Sus scrofa: one gene and its partners. The protein of the gene in region 3 binds, or shares a complex with, the protein of the main gene of each other region. Links are inferred from orthologs where the notes say so. Each region holds a gene or a part of one and is shown on either strand. Other genes may lie near its edges.

What was found. Proteins that work in one complex are often made in the same cells at the same time.
Region 1: MED16 (region 3) and MED20 share a complex: the UniProt entries of both Homo sapiens proteins name them as parts of the mediator complex. The link is inferred for Sus scrofa from reciprocal best matches to the Homo sapiens genes MED16 and MED20.
Region 2: MED16 (region 3) and MED13L share a complex: the UniProt entries of both Homo sapiens proteins name them as parts of the mediator complex. The link is inferred for Sus scrofa from reciprocal best matches to the Homo sapiens genes MED16 and MED13L.
Region 4: MED16 (region 3) and MED12 share a complex: the UniProt entries of both Homo sapiens proteins name them as parts of the mediator complex. The link is inferred for Sus scrofa from reciprocal best matches to the Homo sapiens genes MED16 and MED12.

What each region holds. Positions count from the first base shown.
Region 1 is NC_010449.5:37,071,351-37,075,581, forward strand, and holds the start of MED20 (mediator of RNA polymerase II transcription subunit 20), read right to left. Parts: upstream 2,801-4,231; 5' UTR 2,671-2,800; coding exon 2,657-2,670; intron 1-2,656. UniProt on the Homo sapiens protein: Component of the Mediator complex, a coactivator involved in the regulated transcription of nearly all RNA polymerase II-dependent genes.
Region 2 is NC_010456.5:36,062,573-36,066,828, reverse strand, and holds the start of MED13L (mediator of RNA polymerase II transcription subunit 13-like), read right to left. Parts: upstream 2,801-4,256; 5' UTR 2,680-2,800; coding exon 2,608-2,679; intron 2,529-2,607; exon of another isoform or gene 1,972-2,528; intron 1,927-1,971; exon of another isoform or gene 1,630-1,926; intron 1-1,629. UniProt on the Homo sapiens protein: Component of the Mediator complex, a coactivator involved in the regulated transcription of nearly all RNA polymerase II-dependent genes.
Region 3 is NC_010444.4:77,489,683-77,493,752, reverse strand, and holds the start of MED16 (mediator of RNA polymerase II transcription subunit 16), read right to left. Parts: upstream 2,801-4,070; 5' UTR 2,657-2,800; intron 1,272-2,656; 5' UTR 1,227-1,271; coding exon 1,094-1,226; intron 535-1,093; coding exon 427-534; intron 169-426; coding exon 1-168. UniProt on the Homo sapiens protein: Component of the Mediator complex, a coactivator involved in the regulated transcription of nearly all RNA polymerase II-dependent genes.
Region 4 is NC_010461.5:57,149,399-57,153,683, reverse strand, and holds the start of MED12 (mediator of RNA polymerase II transcription subunit 12), read right to left. Parts: upstream 2,801-4,285; 5' UTR 2,602-2,800; coding exon 2,503-2,601; exon of another isoform or gene 2,442-2,502; intron 1,961-2,441; coding exon 1,856-1,960; intron 1,649-1,855; coding exon 1,457-1,648; intron 1,321-1,456; coding exon 1,161-1,320; intron 481-1,160; coding exon 299-480; intron 110-298; coding exon 1-109. UniProt on the Homo sapiens protein: Component of the Mediator complex, a coactivator involved in the regulated transcription of nearly all RNA polymerase II-dependent genes.

The DNA.
Region 1 (4,231 bases), on a different chromosome or scaffold from region 3:
AAGTGGCTAGGAACTGGTGTACCGGACAGTGACATAGAACATTTTCATCAATGAAGAAAGTTCTAAGGATCCTTGGATCAAAGAGAAAGCAAGCCTCAAGTTTCTAATCTTTGAGAGTGAGAGGCAACAAGAATTTAGCCAAAACAATGAGATAAAAAGTTATTTCCAAGATTTCCTTCTATGGAGAGTGCAACTGGCTTCTACTTTAAGTGGTAGGTAATAATTACCAAGCACCAACTATGAGCCAGGCAGTGCCCAAAGCCTTTAGATGAATTAACTTGCATCAGCCCTATAAGACACAGCATAATCATTTCTTCATTACAAATGAGAAAACTACTGAACAGAGAGGTTGAGTAACTGGCACAAGGTCATACTGCTTAATGCAGTGTAGTCAAGTGAGGTGGCTCCGTGTCCATGCTCTTAAATGCTCCACCGAAAGCTTTCCAAGTTCCCACTGTGGTTAAGGATCAGCATTGTCTCTGTGACGGCATGGGTTTGATACTGCCCTGGGGCAGTGGGTTAAGGAACTGACATTCCCACATTTGTGGCACAGCTTACAGCTGTGACTCAGATTCAGTCCCTGGCCTGGGAACTTCCATATGCCTCGAGTGCAGCTGAAAGAGGAAAAAAAAAAAAAAGAATGCTTTCCTAAGGATACAGTTGTCTGTTAAAATACTTATAAGGAAAAAAACAGAATCAAAAGAAAGCATTAGGAGTTCCTGTCGTGGCGCAGTGGTTAACGAATCCGACTAGGAACCATGAGGTTGTGGGTTCGATCCCTGCCCTTGCTCAGTGGGTTAAGGATCCTGTGTTGCCGTGAGCTGTGGCGTAGGCCAGCGGCTACAGATCTGATTAGACCCCTAGCCTGGGAACCTCCATATGCTGCGGGAGCGGCCCAAGAAATGGCAAAAAGAAAAAAAAAATTAAAAAAAAATAAATAGTTCAAGTGCTATGAAGTTATATAAAAATCATAAAGACAATCATTATGTGGCTGAATTTTGGGAGGTACTGCATTACTTTATGACCAATTATGATCAACTAAAGGAAAATATAAAAACAGACCCCTGCTGTTGCTACAAATTGTCAGTAATCTCCATCAGGAAGAGCACTAACAAGCCACAATGATGATGGCCTTTATTTTGAAAAATAAGAGAATCCCTTAGATGATACAACTGGGGTCCAAAGTACTAGGAATCTGAAAAGTCGAGAAGGGTCCCAACAGAGGGCCTTTTCCCTCTGTCTGCCTTCTGCACTGAAGGAACAGGGGCTTCGGAGTTCTGCTCGTGGCTCAGCGGGTTAAGAATGTGACCAGTATCCATGAGGATATGGGTTCGATCACCTAGCCTCGCTCAGTGGGTTAAGGATCTGGCGGTGCCATGAGCTGTAGTGTAGGTTGCAGATGCAGCTCGGATCTGGCATTGCTGTGGCACAGGCTGGCAGCCACAGCTCTGATTCAACCTCTAGCCTGGGAACTTCCATGTGACACAGGAACGGCCCTAAAAAGAAAAAAAGAAGAAGAAAAAAAAAAAGCTGTAGGAACAGCCCTAAAAAGAAAAAAAGAAAAAAGAAAACAAAAACAAAAACAAAAACAACAACAGGGGCCTCACAGCAGAAACTGACACAATGTTGTAAATCAACTATATTTTAATTTAAAAAAGAAAAGAAAAAAACAACAGGGGCTTCCAGGATTCCATGCCTCTGCGGAGGAAACTTTTCATCTCCATTCTTCACATCCTCCTTACACTAAAAGACTTCCAAAGAGGCTCATGATGTCAACTGCAGGAAGCAAATGTGCAGTCACTGACAAGTGTGCAAGACTTGGGTGACTGGGAGGAAGAATTCCCACAGGCTCTTTTCTTATATGAAGACTCTATAGCCACTGACTCCTGATACCCTGGCCTCTAGCCCTCTCTGATTGGAAAGATGCTCCAGATACCTTTTTTTTTTTTTTTCTTTTAAGCCCTGAAATCTAGCATTTTGGAACTAATGCCTCCAAGAGCATGAGGCCCATATTTCCCTGCACTCTGACTCATAACACGTTACAGATATTAAGTCCACAGAAACTAAACCAAGCATGTAATTAAACATAGTAGGAAACAGGTTCTGAGGAGGTGATGTGCCTAACATCCCAATCTCCTAACTCCCAATAGCTTCTTTTTTTCCCCCTCTAGACCCGAGATCTTAAAATGGCCAAATTAGAACTAGACACAGGCTGGTCTAACTGCATTTAGTGGCCATAGGGAAGGGCAAAAACCTAAAAAAGATACTGCCTTCAATGTTGTCTATCTCCCTCCCCACAACCCATCCAACCTTGACTGCAGATGGGTCCTAAACCCGACATACTATTTCCGACCCCAGGCAGTACTGTGGGATGACGAGCAGGAAGAATATACCAAGAAAAACGGAAGGAGGTACGCGACCACTGGTGGATTCTTAAGATAAAAATTTTTAACCTGCCACCTTTGAGAAAGAAGGGGCGCATCTCCGAGGAAAAAGGCCCGCAGATTTCGCAGCCCTCACAGTGGTCCCCTCACCCACACAACTCGAGGGCATCTCTCTCAGACCCTGATCCCGATCCTCCTCTCGGGGACACTGGAGGCTCCACCGGCCCTTCACCACCCCAAGCTTCGCCCCACGAAATCCCTTGAAGTCCTACCAAGTCACTCCCATGATGTTAGGCCAGGAAGATGACAGTACTGAACAGCTGATACGCAGTGCTCTGCTGCAGCCCACGCGAGGTGAAACCACCGACCTAACGAAAGCTTCGGTAGTAGGAGGTGCTCCGGAAATAACGTAAAAAGTGCGAGTCCCTTCGGCGGCCACGAGGAACGGGGCGTACAGGCGCCTCCAGTGACGTCACTGCAGGGCTCCGCCCCCTAGGCTTGCAGCTCGGGGACTTCCTATTCGACAAATCACCCCGGGCCTAGATTCATGAAGCTAAGAAAGCGTGGCTTGGACTGCCACTGCTTAGAGAAGGCGATGTTAATTGCAATGAGTTTATTCGGGAGTCCAGCTCCAGGACTCAGGAGCTCTATCAGGGGGTGGGGCGGGGATGGTGGCAGGTCCGGCCTCCGAACACCAGGGGGCGCTGTAATCACCGTCTGGCCTCTGGGGAGTTCCCTGCGCCGGCGCACTCAGAGCTTTTCCTCTGTCCCCACATGTGAAACTTCCCGGCGAGGTTTTCTAGCGAAATGCCCAAACTCAAGGCCGCCCGCGGGGCCGAGGGTCAGGAAAAGCATGCGCCCCTGGCCGACCAAATCCTGGCTGGGAATGCGGTGCGGGCGGGGACCCGGGAAAAGCGGCGGGGTCGCGGAACCGGAGAAGAGGAGGAGGAGTACGTGGGGCCTCGGCTGACCCGACGGATTTTGCAACAAGCGCGGCAGCAGCAAGAGGAGCTCGAGGCTGAGCATGGGACCGGGGACAGGCCGGCGGCACCTCAAGATCGCACCACGCGGCTGGGTGAGTAGCGAGAGTGGGTGCGAGAAAGAGGATGGGTAGTTGGTAGTGGTAGGCTGAAAAGTGTCCGGCAGGATAATAGTTTGGAATTAAAAAAAAAAAAAAAAACCCAGGGGGGCGTATTACACTCTAGCAAAGGTAATGGAATGGGAGACCCAGCCCTGGCCGGATTTAGGGTGGCTGGAGACCTTCACCTAAAAGTTGAGAGTTAAGTTTTATTTGGAGCAAAATTAGGACCTAGGCCCGGGAGACAGAATCTCAGGTAGCACGGAGGAAACCGGTGCGAGGAGGGGAGCTAGGATATGAGGCAGGTAGTGTTGCCAAAACTCTGTCTCTGTCCTCCGATGCCCAGTTGAAGCACAGAGACAGGGTTTTGGGTGAAGAAGAAAAAGATATCTCTATTGCTCTGCCAAAGGAGGGCCAGAGCAGGTTAGTGCCCTAAAGACTATGGTCCCCTTGAGAGAGATTAGGAGATGGTTTTACAGTGTAAGAGTGGAAAATAGAGCCGCAGTTAAGGACCAGGGTCGAGGCAAACTTGCACGGTTTCTCACGCTCCTGTTTAGTGGCCCCAGGACTGGTTCTGGTGGTCCTCCTTTTTTCCACTGAAGAATGCTTCATACTTCATCAAGTAATAGTTCTGCAGAAGGGCTCAAAGATACTATGTATATTCCTTGAGGAGGAATCTGGACCTGCCCCAAGGTTGCACTATTGTCTCTGTTTTTTGTTTTTTTTTTTTTTTGCTTTTTAGGACCGCACCTGTGGCATATGGAGGTTC
Region 2 (4,256 bases), on a different chromosome or scaffold from region 3:
GAAAAATGTATGCTATTATTATGCACCACAAGTTCTTATAATACATGCTTTATTTTGAGCAGGTGATGATTTTATCTCCTTTGGAATGAACAATTCCAAACAATGTACTTTAGGCAAAATATTTTTGATATTCTAGGTTGCTGCTATATCTAATTTTCAAGAAAATTCTCAATTTGCAATGAGTAAAATTTATAATTATCAACAGCTCTGAATCCTAAATTTTTTTAATTTGTACCTATCCACTTTCTACATACAATAGAATGTAGACATTCTACAGTCCTTTAAAAAAAAAAAAAAATCAACCCAAACAACGCTGCAGTTCTGCATTTCAAAGTTGCTACCTAAAGAGTAATTGTTTTTTTTTTAAAAAAAAAGTATATTCAAAAATCAATTCCTGGTTTAAAAAGGTTAGAAAATCTAAAGCATAAACCTTCAGTCAGTCATAAAGCACAGCAAAGCATACAAATTGCCTCTCCAAAAGAATCTTAAGCATCTTATCTCTATAACATTATCATTCTTACTTAAGCTTTAAAAAAAAAAAAAAAGATAAAAAAATGATATCTCCAAAAGACAGGCTACACATGTACTTTGACTTGTCTACAAAACGTACTGTATATAAATTAGCCACATACATACAAGCCGTTGCTAGTCAGCATGATATATGGTAATTTGGAATCTCTCCTCACTAATACTGGTCTACTCGGTTATTTTAATTCCCTGTTAAAGTGTCAAAGTGGTCACCAGCCGCCAAACAAAAACCATTTAAATACCCCTTAATCAATACGTTTGCTAATCTATGGAAGTCCCTGCATCTGACTAATACTAAATGACAGACTGAGAGGAGCAAAGCAGCAGCAAAATGAGTTTTAGTTCCACATAGCAAAAGATCAAGGGAAAATTTTCACAGTATAAAGAAGACTCGCAACTTATCATTGATTTTTAAGATTAAATATCTAAATAAAAATGTTGAAAAAACTGACTTGACCTTATTACAGTGAAAGCAAAGATACTATGTCATTGGGTCTTTGCAGGTAAAAATCACGTTTTGATTTTTTTTATCTGCATAATGAAATTTATTTAAAAAAATAAAGCTTCCATTTGAAAAGTTGGCAAGAATCTGTATTTCTCCACTAGTCTCAAAGAAAAAAAAAAAGCATCTATGCTACCCATAATTAAATGCAACTAATTACAATTTGAACACTAAATTATTTATCCAGTGTAAACAAGGATTAAGAGAAAATAATGCTCCTATCTACAGCAGGGGTTACAGAAAACAATTTCAAAAATGCAAGCTCTCCAAAGGCAGTCCCCCCCAAAAAGGATACAAAACTTAAAATAAGTTGGGGTTTTCTTTTTTTAAGGCTAAATTAAACAAACCGTTCAGCCAATTTTCCAATTATATTCTACGCCTGAAACATAATTGCCTTACATCTGTTTACAAATCTTTGCTCAATATTTAAACAAATTCGTAGTCTCCCGGGCACATAGCTATATATACAGTAACCCATGCACAAAGCACATATTTAAAGACCACGCACTGCAATTATTAGCCTAAACGCCAGGTTTAACAACGTGAATGTTTTCAGAGCTAGGTAATACGACCCAATAAAAAGCAAAGATGGCATTTACCACCAAATGTCACTGCCACCGCCAGGAAAGAGTTGCTGGAGCCCTATACATTTTTAATTTCGCTGAATCTAGACGCCGTCGTCGGGTGCCAGGCTTCCAGGAGAACAATTGACACCCTAACTGCTTCAAGATTAAGGCAGGCGATTCAAATCCGAAGGAAAAGTTGTCAATTATCAGAGAGAGAGCGCGAGGGAGATGAAGGCAGATAAAAGCGATGTTATCAAACCGCCCAGCTTGTTGCTGCTGCTGCTGTGTGTGTGTGTATGTGTGTGTGTGTTAGGAGAGAGAAAACAGTTTTTTAAAAAACACAGGAGGAGAGAAAAAAGAAAAAGCTTTCTCCACCTTCCGTCGGCTCGGTGCAATGGCTTTACGGCTCTCCAGCGTAGTAAGCCCCAAGAGGCAGGCGGCTGTCGATGTTTACAATCGCGGGAGCTTCGGGTGCAAGAGTCCTTTACTGACACAATCGCATTCAATCAACTGTTTTCGGGCGAAATTGCAGGTGTCATTATGGAATTTTTTAAAAATTCAAAAGGCGGGCGGGCGGGCAGCCCATCCGACAAGGGGGGAAAAAGGCTGCTTATCGCAGGCGCGGGCAGCACAAGGCAAAGCTTTCCACATTTAGGAAAAAAAGGGGGGGAAGGGGAGGGGAAGGGGAGTGCGATGGCAACAGAGGGTGGGCGTTCGAAGTGCGACCCAGAATCCGCAGCTTTGAGACTTCTACATGCAAATTCCACGCCGAGCGCCGCGCTCACAAATGATTTTTAAAGAGCCAAATAAACACTGGATGGGATCCAAGGCGAGGGAGAGACGATCCAAAAGGGGGAGAATCAGCGAGAGGCGAACGGCGGGGAGAGGCGAGGGAGGGGCGAAGTCCCGGCGGCGGGAGGAGAAAGTTGGTCTGCGGCGGAGGTCGGCGGCGGAGGTCGGGGACCCCCCCCCACCCCGGCATAGCCCCCTCCCTGCAGCCCGGCTACTCACCAGCGAGAAGAGGTTGGAGTGACAATCCTCCAGGCTCGCCCCGTTCGCCACCCAGTTCGCTGCCGCAGTCATGATCCTCCGCGAGCCCGGCCGCCAGAGCGGGGCATGTCGGAGCGAGGCGTCCGAGGCGAGGCCGGGCCGGGCGGCAGCGCCTCGCCGGAGAGCGCGGGGCAGCCGGGCCGCCGCCGCCGCCGGGGGAGGGCGGGAGGGCCGCCGGGCGGGTGGGAGGCGCCGCGGCGACGCCGCGCCGGGGGCGGCGGGCCCGGGCCGGCGGGGGGGTCCGCGGCGGCCGCGCGGCTCCTTCCTGCTCCCGCGGCGGCGGCGGCGGCTCCGGCGGCGGCGGGGGGCGCTGTCCGCGCGGCCGGGCGCCCTCCCCGCCTCTCAGGGCCGCCGCTGCCTCCCGGGCCGGCGCTGCGGGCCGGCCGCCGCCTCCGCCTTCCCTGTTCCTCAGCCGCCGCCGCCGCCGCCGCCTTGTTTATCTCCAGCCACCGACTCCCCCTCGGCCCCCGCCGGCGCGTGAGAGGAGGCGAGCCCCGGAGCCGCCGCCGCCGCCTCGGAGCCGCCGCAGCCGCGGAGCGCGAACTCGCGAAGGGGGGGTGCGGACGAAGCCAGCGGGCGACCCCGGCAGCCGAGCGACGTCCCCTCCTTCCTCTTCCTCCCCCACCCCCCCCTCCTCCTCCCCAGTCAGCCTCGCTTCTCCTCCCTCCCCGGGCTCTCTCACTCTGACAGCAATGGCGGCCGCCGACCGCGGCTCGGCCCGCCATTGGCTAGCGCCCTATCACGTGACGGGCGCCGGCCGCGCGGGGAGGGGGGACGGGGGAGGGGCCCTGAGCGGCGGCGGCGGCGGCGGGGCTCGCGGGCGGCGCTGCTGAGCCGAGTGCGATCGGATTCTCCGGCCGGGAGAAGAAGGAAGACGGGGAGGGAGAGAAAGAAGTGCGGGCGGCGCGGCTGCCGGGCTGGCAGCGGCCGGGCGAGCGGCCTCAGGCTGCTGTGCGCTGCCCCGCTTGGGCGCCGCGCCCCGCCCCCTCGGGTGCTAGGATCTTTACGCGGCGCTACCTCACCCCCGGAATGCCTGTGGCAGTGGCCGCGGAGAGCTGGGGCCCCTAACCTGTGCCTCTGACGGCCTGGGCGACTGGGTGGTGGGGCTCGCTGTTGGCCAGACAGCATGTCCACGTGTCTCAAGGTTTCACTCTGTCGTCCGTGTTTTGCAAATGAGAAAACTGAAGCACAAAGAGATTAAGTCACTTGCCCACAGCTGGGAAGAGGAGGAGATGGGATTCAAACCCCTGCACCCATGCACAGGGAAGCTAAGCTCTTGCACTAAGGTTTATTACCCTCGCCCAGGAGCGCTTACTGAATACCAGGCACTAAGAAATGCAGAAATGCCTTTTGAACCCTTACTCCTAGGCACTGTGAGCATGCGTTCATTCATTGCATAAATGCTTTCTAATCTCCTGCTTTGTGCCAGAAATTTTTTTTTTTTTTTTTTAACTCCCAGGCACTTTACTAGGGCTGTGTTGGGAGCAGACCTTCCCTCCAGCATTCAATCAGTAACCAACATTTCCAGTATGGGAGTACAGAGGAATGCCACCATAGGGAGGCTCTTTTCCAGCCCTCAAGGCTTGACCTCGATGCAAAGGAGGAGAGAA
Region 3 (4,070 bases):
TTTCCACGTGCAGGGCCAGCTTCACACCATTGTGCAGCCAGGACAAGGCCACGATGGGGTCCCCCTCCACCAGGCTGCCCACTGGGCTCTCCCAGCTGTTGGCCAGGTGGTCTGCCATGGTCCAGCACTTGATCTGCCCATCAGCATCGGCCGACAGCAGCCGGGAGCCTGCAGGGGAAGAGGGGGGCAAGCCTGTGTCACAAAGCACCCCCCCCAGTACATCTGGGGCCTGGGATGGGAGACAAGCAGGGGCATGGCACACATGTCTCCCAGGAACGACTCTGGTCACCAAAAATGGGAGGAGAAGGAGCCGAAAAGCCACAAGGCCAGGGCTTTCATCCTAGTTCTGGACAGTGGGGACATGACCAGGAAAAGACAGAACAAGTAAGCTTGGGATTTGAGATCAAGGGTGAGCCCCACCCTCACCTGACTGGTCCCACTCGAGGCAGGTGATGGCCTCGCTGTGCTCCGAGTTGATGGAGTGCACGTCCCAGGGGTGCTCCGTATCCAGGATGTGGATCATGCGGGTCAGGTCTGCAAAGGAGGGCCAGGTCAGCGGCAACAATGGCAGGGCCTCGAGTGCCTGATGACCCCAGGGGTAATGGGAGCAGGTCCATGACTCTGCCTCCAGAGAGGCTACAACCACTTTCAAAAGAGACATAGAAAATGGAACTGGAAAAAAACAAACCCAAAATGCTAACAGAGAGTGGCTCTCTGGGGAAGGTAATGCCTTTTTTTCTTCCCCTCATCCAAAATGTCTGTGTTTTTCTCCTTTCCTCTAGGAGCATGTGTCATTCAACAATAGCGAGAACACAGGCCCAGCAGGCAGGCTGCAGCTCAGAGGCTTTCAGAAGCCAAGCAGTGACATATAAGGTCTGGAAAACTCAGGCAGGAGCCTCAGCAGGGGCTGGGGACCACCCTCATCTGGACAGGTCCATCCCCTGGGGGTGATTCCAGTGCCCCCTGGTGCCAGGTGCCCTCTGGGCCCTCACCACCCCTCATCACACATGAGGGAACCCTGAGAGACTGGACAGGCCTGGAGGTCCATGGGCACTGGGGCACGAGCCCATGCGGGGGGCAGGAGGGGGCGCACCCTGGTCGTCGTTTCGGAGATCCGTGGTAAAGGCGATGAGGTTGCGGCAGGACCAGGCACAGGCCAGGGGCACCGAAGGGCAGTGCGTGCTCTTGGGCCATTTCTCCCACTCACAGACGTACGCCAGGTCCATGGTGCCCGGCTGCCAAGGTCATACACAGAGGGCGGTCACCAGCTTCTGAGGGAGGGAGGACCAGTTTGTCACAGACGTTCATGCAGGGCCTCAGGGCCCAGAGCGCAGTGCTGGATGGTGGGTCACTGCAGGGACCCAAAGACTCAATCCCTGCTCTGTGTATGTCAGGGGAGCTATATCTGACACATGGATGGCCAGGGAGGCCTCCCAGCGTAGAAGTGAGGGATCCAGGAATGCAGCCTGGAGGAAGGATATCCCAGGCAGGGGGAACAGCCAGTGCAAAGGCCCAGAAGCTGGACCAAGCCCAGGGTCATCAAGGAGCGGCAGGGGGCCCATGTTGCTGGAACTGAGTGAGAGGAAGGGAGGGGTAAAGTGAGGGTGGGGTGGGTCATGCAGGGCCTGCGCTTTCACCCTGAGTGAGGTGGGAGCCCCAGGGGAGCTGAGACCTTCTTATGTTTCACACACCCCTCTGGCTGTCTGGAGAGAAAGGCTTAGGGACAGGGTGGGGGTGACCATGCCAGTCCAGGTGAACAATGATGGGGACCATGAAGCAGTGAGGAGAGGTGGGACTGCTCTATCCTTAGAGAAGCCTTTGGCAGAGGCAAGGAGGCAGGATGGGGGGCAGGCAGCAGCTTGGTGCAGCACTTCAAAGGTAACAACCGCAACGGAAACAATGAACATTTCCACCTGCTGTCTATGTGCCGGGCATTGATTACGGTTATTTTCACCGTTACCAGAACCCAATGAGACTGTATGACCAACCCATCTTTCTCAATCACTTCCCCCAGGCCTCCCGCTTCCTCAAGCCTTGGCCAGGAACCCCAAGGCCCTGCCCAGAGGCCCCTTCAGCAGTCTTTAAGCTCTGCCCTCAAAGCTCTCCAGCCCCGCCCCCTACAATATTTGCTTTCCAGACCCCAGTCCCAATTTGCCCCTTGTGTTCCCAGGGATAGCTTAAATTTGTTCTCTCCCCAGGGTCTCCCAAACAACTCGCCTCCCTATAACCACCTCCAAATTCCCAACCCTCCAAGTCCCGCCTCTTTTTGCCACTTCAGGCTCCACCCCAGGGACCACTACCCAATAGCCAGGTGCTGGTCTCCAGTGGCCGCCTTCCAGCCCACCAGAATCCCCAGGCCCCTCCCCAGGAAAATACAGCCTTAGACCTCCCAACCCCTGATCAGGTTCCAGGCCCAGCCCCGATTTTCCCCAGCTCGGAGTGCCCGGATTCCCAGACGCCTCAGACTTTCCCCCAAGTTTCCGTCGCGACCCCCCCCCCCCGCCCAACGTGCTCCCGGGCGCGTACCCAGCACCCCTTGCTCTCCAGGCCCGCCCTCTAACCCTACAGGCCCCGCCCCCGGCCCGCTAGTCGCCGCCGCGGCCGTAGGCACCGTCCTGAGGCCGGCCCAACGCCCAAGTCCCCAGTCCCCGCTCACCGGGACGGCCTGTTCTCCCAGCCGAGCGGACGGCCACGGCCTGCACTCCACCTATCGGCGCGGCTACGGCACCGCCATCTTCCCCGGATCAACGAGTCGCCCACGTAGCGCGGCCGTTTCCCGGAGACTTCTGGGACAGCAGCGGCTCCGGCCCCGCCCCACTACCGATATAATTTGCATACATACATTGATAGTTTCCCAACAGCCACCCGAATTATATTTCGTGAAAGAACACTTTCTCAACTTCAGTGAGTAGCCTCATTCTGTTAAGCTATTGTTGCACTGATATCAGAAAAGAAGAGACAAGTTACTGAGTATTTTTCTTCTAAACGGAATTCACCCTTAGCGTAAAGTATTTTATACTCCGCCCTATAAATAGCGGTCGGGTTAACCCCGGTGTCGTGCTCGCTTCGGCAGCACATATACTAAAATTGGAACGATACAGAGAAGATTAGCATGGCCCCTGCGCAAGGATGACACGCAAATTCGTGAAGCGTTCCATATTTTGCTTTTCCTTGCTTCTTTTCCCCGTAAGCAAGACGGCTTAACCAGTCGTGGGCTTCTCTGGATTCACTCGTCTCCCGCTATCAAAAGCTGGTTCTTTTTCTGTCGGGCTCTCCCCAGTTGGGAAAGTCTTTTCTAGGAAGACCTCCTGATATTTCGGGGAAGGTGTACTGGGCTGCAGTTAGCGCCTGGGCAAAGGTATGGGGGCCGGGCTCAGGGAATCGGAGTGGGAAGAAAACAGCCAGCTAGGGGCAGCCGCAGGACCGAGTCTGTGTGTCAGTGCAGGAGGCCTGTGGAGTCCCCTAGAGCCACCACACCCGCGCCCTGAAGTCCAGACTGGCCTCCAGGCACCAGAAATTCGGTCCCCTTCACAGGTGGGAGCCTCCAAGCTGGTTAATCCAGTATCTCCTGATGTCCTCTGAGCCATTTGGATTTCCATTATTTAGCATCTGTGTTTAAAACTTTTTAAAATGCCTGTTAAAATGGAACTCAGCACACTTAGCACCCAGTTCTTGGTTTCTAAACGTTGCCCCAGTGAAAGGAACTGGGCTCCTGGGCGAAATGCCTGGTTCTAGAAGGCAGCACAAATATGCAGAGGAGCCCGGTGCTCAAATAAATAAATACCCCGCCTCAGTGAGACAGGAATCACTGAAAGAGCTCCCAGTATCCAAACCTGGAACAATCTGAGCAACAAAATGAAAGGATATTGTGTTGTAACCCAAACAAGAAAGCGAATGTCCAGGCGTCTGTACTGATATAAACAGTTAAATAAATAAATACACAGGGGGAAAGAGACAAATGTCACCTGCAGGATTCCCAGTAATTGAGGCAGATAATCCATCTTCAGGGAAATGGAGATCAGGGTGAGGTTCAACAGTGAGGAGCCCTGTGGACAGCAGGGACCCCTGAT
Region 4 (4,285 bases), on a different chromosome or scaffold from region 3:
GAAGCAGCAGGGGCAGCAGCAGTTTAAGCAATTCATCCTCTCCAGGGCGGATTTTCTCAAAGCACTCAAGTACCCAGGTCAGGAACTCATGTCTGTCCAGCATTCCGTCCTGTGGGCACCAGGGGTGGGAAGAGGATTAGCTTTGCCTAGGGACTATTCAAGATGAGGCAGAGAAAGTAAATGAAAGGATGAAGAGAACCACACAAGTGGGGCAAGGTGGCAGGCCGATTCTGTTCTATGCTGGCAGAGTGTGAGATCAGGCTCAATCCCACGCCCTATAACAAGCTCTCCTTCCTACCTGAAACATGAACATGGCCAGCTTCTCGTTGTAGTCCCACTGCCAGATCGCCACCTCTACATCATGGGGCAAGGGCCCTACAGTGGGACCACAGCCCCCACTTCCGGCAGGCCCTGGCCGGTAGTATTCAGCCATCTTTTGCAGCTGCTCCCATAAGTACTTGGTGATGATCTGAGTCCACTCTAGGGGAAAGATGGGAAAACGGCTATTTTATACTGTCCCTCTGCTTAGAACATCTTGTCCCCTGCTCCCGTCCACAGTCACCATACTTCTAAATCCTATTCAGCCCCTTAGGCTCTAGTCAAATGCCACCTTCCTAAAGCCTTTCCAGGTGTCTCCAAAAGAAAGTAATCTTTCTGTTCACTGAGTCTCAAAGAAACCTTCTGCCTCCATTTTTTATGTTTATTTTATTAACTTACATATTTTTATTTATTAATTAATTTACATATTTTTAAAAATTTTGGCTGTGCTCGCAGCATGCAGACGTTTCCCGGCCAGGGATGGAACCTGTGCCATGGCAGTGACAATGCTGGATCCTTAACCTGCTGCACCACTAGGGAACTCCTTGCCTCCACTTTTGACATTATGTTCTATATTTAATCACGGGATCTGTACATATGCCTTGGCATCCCTACTAGACTCTAAGCATCCTAAAGGCAGGGATTAAGTAGTGGTTATCTTTATAGCCCAGTACATGCACGGAGAAGGTACTCAAGATACTCGATGTTTACTAATGGAGTGAATGCAAGATACAAGCAGAAGCAAGGAATATAGATGAGGAAGGAGAATAATCTCAAGGGTCTCTCTACCACTGCTTGAAGTGATCAGTGGTGGGACCCCTGGTGTTAGAGGACTTACTCACCCGTGAAGGGGTCAACGACATTTCTCTTCTTAACCTTGTTCTCCGAGATTGCTGCATAGTAGGCACAGGTCATCTTAATGAGCCAGGCTGCCCGCATCACAGGCACTGTGTATTTGGCTAAGTACCCAAACACTTCTTCCTTCTTACTGAAAATGGGGACCTGGACGGACATCACAAATAGTGAGACCTCCATTACCCCCATGAGCTGGCATTCATGTAGCTTAATCTGGGAATCGGAGGGTGCTTGGTACCCACACTCCACTCCCTGGCTTGAAGAACAAGAAATGGTATCTCACCTTTTTGGCTAGTTGTGTGAGTGGCTTGGTGCCAGCCAGGTCAGTGAACCAGGTGTTAATGGCACTCTGGGATCGTGCAGTCACCAGCCAGAAGTTGTCCTTCTGGTTCACTTGGGGCTTCCTGCGACCAGTGTCAGGGAGGGTGTTACAACGTAACTTCTCTGCAATAATGCTGCTGAAGTTGGAACTGATCTGAGGGAAGAAAACTACACCTCAGGGTGGGAAGAAGGGGTAGAGAGGTGGTTGTGCCTTTGATAGGCAAATGCCAATGTGGTAGCATGAGGTTATGAAGGAAAACTCAGCCATTTAGGTGGTCCCTTTAAGTCTTCCCAACCCAGGGCCTTTGCGCCTTCTCAAATTCTTCCAGCCTTTTCCTTCAGCTTGGCAGGGTTGTCTCACCTTGGCAGGATTGAAGTTGACGTTCTTGGCACTGCCATGTTCATCCCCAGAGACAGCGGGCTGGTTATTGAAACCTTGTTTTACATTCAAGGCTGTCAGTTCATCCTAAAGCGGGAAAACGACATGTTAGCCCCCGCCACGGGGGGGGGGGGGAAGGTTGGTGGTGGGAGAGGGCAGAAGAGAAGGGAACATGGGGAGGGGGGAAGGGAGGAGGAGGATTCGGAGTAGAACAGATTGTTATTTAAAGCTAGGCCCTAACATTCATTTGGACCCCACCCTCACCCCCACAGTCACTAAGATTCCCAATCCCCCAGAGCTCACTCAACAGCACTCTTCCCCTGCGAGCTTGGAAGCAGAGCAGCCGTTGCTCACCCAGCTGCCTCAGACAACTTTCTGAGGTGTGTGTGTGTAGAGGGGGGCGCCTCCAGCGTGGCCCCGATATCACTCCCAGCTGGCACCCAGGAACCACCCCCCACCCCCACCAGATCCTACTCTCCTACGCCAGCCCACTTTACTCTTCCCCCTTTCGGGACTTTCGCTCCCGGCGAACCGCCCCGCCCCCCCCCCCCCCCGCCAAGCTTTCAGTGCTTCCTCTTCTGCCGATCGCTGGCCCCCGGCCCCTGGGGAGCCCGGATTTTTGAACGTACCTCCTTCTGTTTGGGATCTTGAGGGTACACATCCGGAGGCCCCAGCCGCGGCCGCTTCAGGGGCCGGTGTTCGTAGCTCAAGATCCCGAAGGCCGCCATCTTGCCCAGCCCGTAGCGCCAGAGGCGCCAGCCGGGCCCGGCCGCTGGGGGAGGGGGAGAGGGAGCCGAAAAGGGGGGCAGCGGAGGCGAGGACGGCAGCCGAGAGACAACAAGGGGGCACGTTAGAAACTCTCGATCATTGCCGGAAACTACCGAGGTAAACCGAGGGACGCCGGGAACCGTCGGACAATACCGACCGCGGGGTAGGGGGGGGAACGGGGGCGGGGCCCACCCGGCGTGGGGCGGAGCTCGGCGCCGGGGGAGCTTTTTCTGCCCCGGCGGCCGCAGATCGACTTCACTCAGTCAAGATCTTTGCGACATTCGCTAACCCTGTGCTGGACTGGGGATGCGAACCCGCGAGGCGGGAGGCGGCCACCGCACCGAGCTCCGGTTAGAATTGCGTTCCCAGCACCTCCCTCCGTTCCCGGCCTAGAATAAATAAGTGCTTGATCGTCTGTGCGTTTGTTGGGAACTCTGCCTTTTCCAAACTGCTTCTTCATTTCTCAGGTTCCGCATCTGAAAAATGGGTGTACTAACAAACACTTCCTTCAAGGGACTGTTGTGAAGATTAGAAACGATGTATGCATAAGGAAACACATATTAACCCCCCCCCCCCCCACACACACACAAAGGTCGGCTCTAATCCCTCAAGGTCCCTATGGTCTAGCACTGAGGTTCTTAACCTCTTCTGATTCAAAGTCCCTTTAAAATGCGGTGGAAGCTACGGCCCTTCTTCCCAGAAAAAAAAAAAAAAAAAAAAAGCACGTAGAGATATACAAAACGTTAGACACTTTCCACGGAGATTCTTACACACACACCCCTCCACGAAGTTCATCCATATATACTCCGAAGATTCAGGAACTCCAGGTTAAGAACGCTTGCTCTATAGAAAGAGGCACCTATTAAGTATCAGATGCTTTTCAGACATTATCTCTTTTAATCCACAAAAGCCCCATGTGTTAGGGATTATTATTGTCTCCATTTTGTAGATGAGGAAGCTGATTCTCAAGGAGTGGGAGTTGGTTTATATAGCTACTGAATAACAGAGCTGAGACTAGGGTTTTTTTCCTTGACTCTTCTTTAAGTGGTATATCATATCATTGGCTATTCTATTTTTTTACCTGCTTTTTAATTTAATTTTATTTGCTTTTTGTAGGGCCGCACCTTCAGCATATGGAGGTTCCCAGACTAAGGGTCAAATCCGAGCTGCAGCTGCCTGCCACAGCCACAGCCACTGCAACAGGATCCTTAACCCACTAAGTGAGGCCCGGGATGGAACCCGAATCCTCATGGATACTAGTATGTCAGGTTTATAACCCACTAAGAACTCCCCCTGCTTTTTTAAATTGAAGTATATTTGGTGTACAATATTGCATAAGTTACGGGTGCACAGTATAGTGGTTCGTATTTTCTAAAGGTTATACTCCATTCATAATTATAAAATATTGGCTACATTCCTCATGTTATACAATATATCTTTTTAGCTCATTTTATACGTGATAGTTTGTATCTTATAGTCTCCTACACCTAAACTGTCCTTCCCCCTTCTCGCTTCTCCCAGTGTAACCCCTAGTTGGTTCTTTGTATCTGTGAATCTGCTTTTTTGTTACATTCACTAGTTTGTTGCATTTTTCAGGTTCCACATATGAGTGATATCATACTTTTTTTTTTTTTTTTTGTCTTT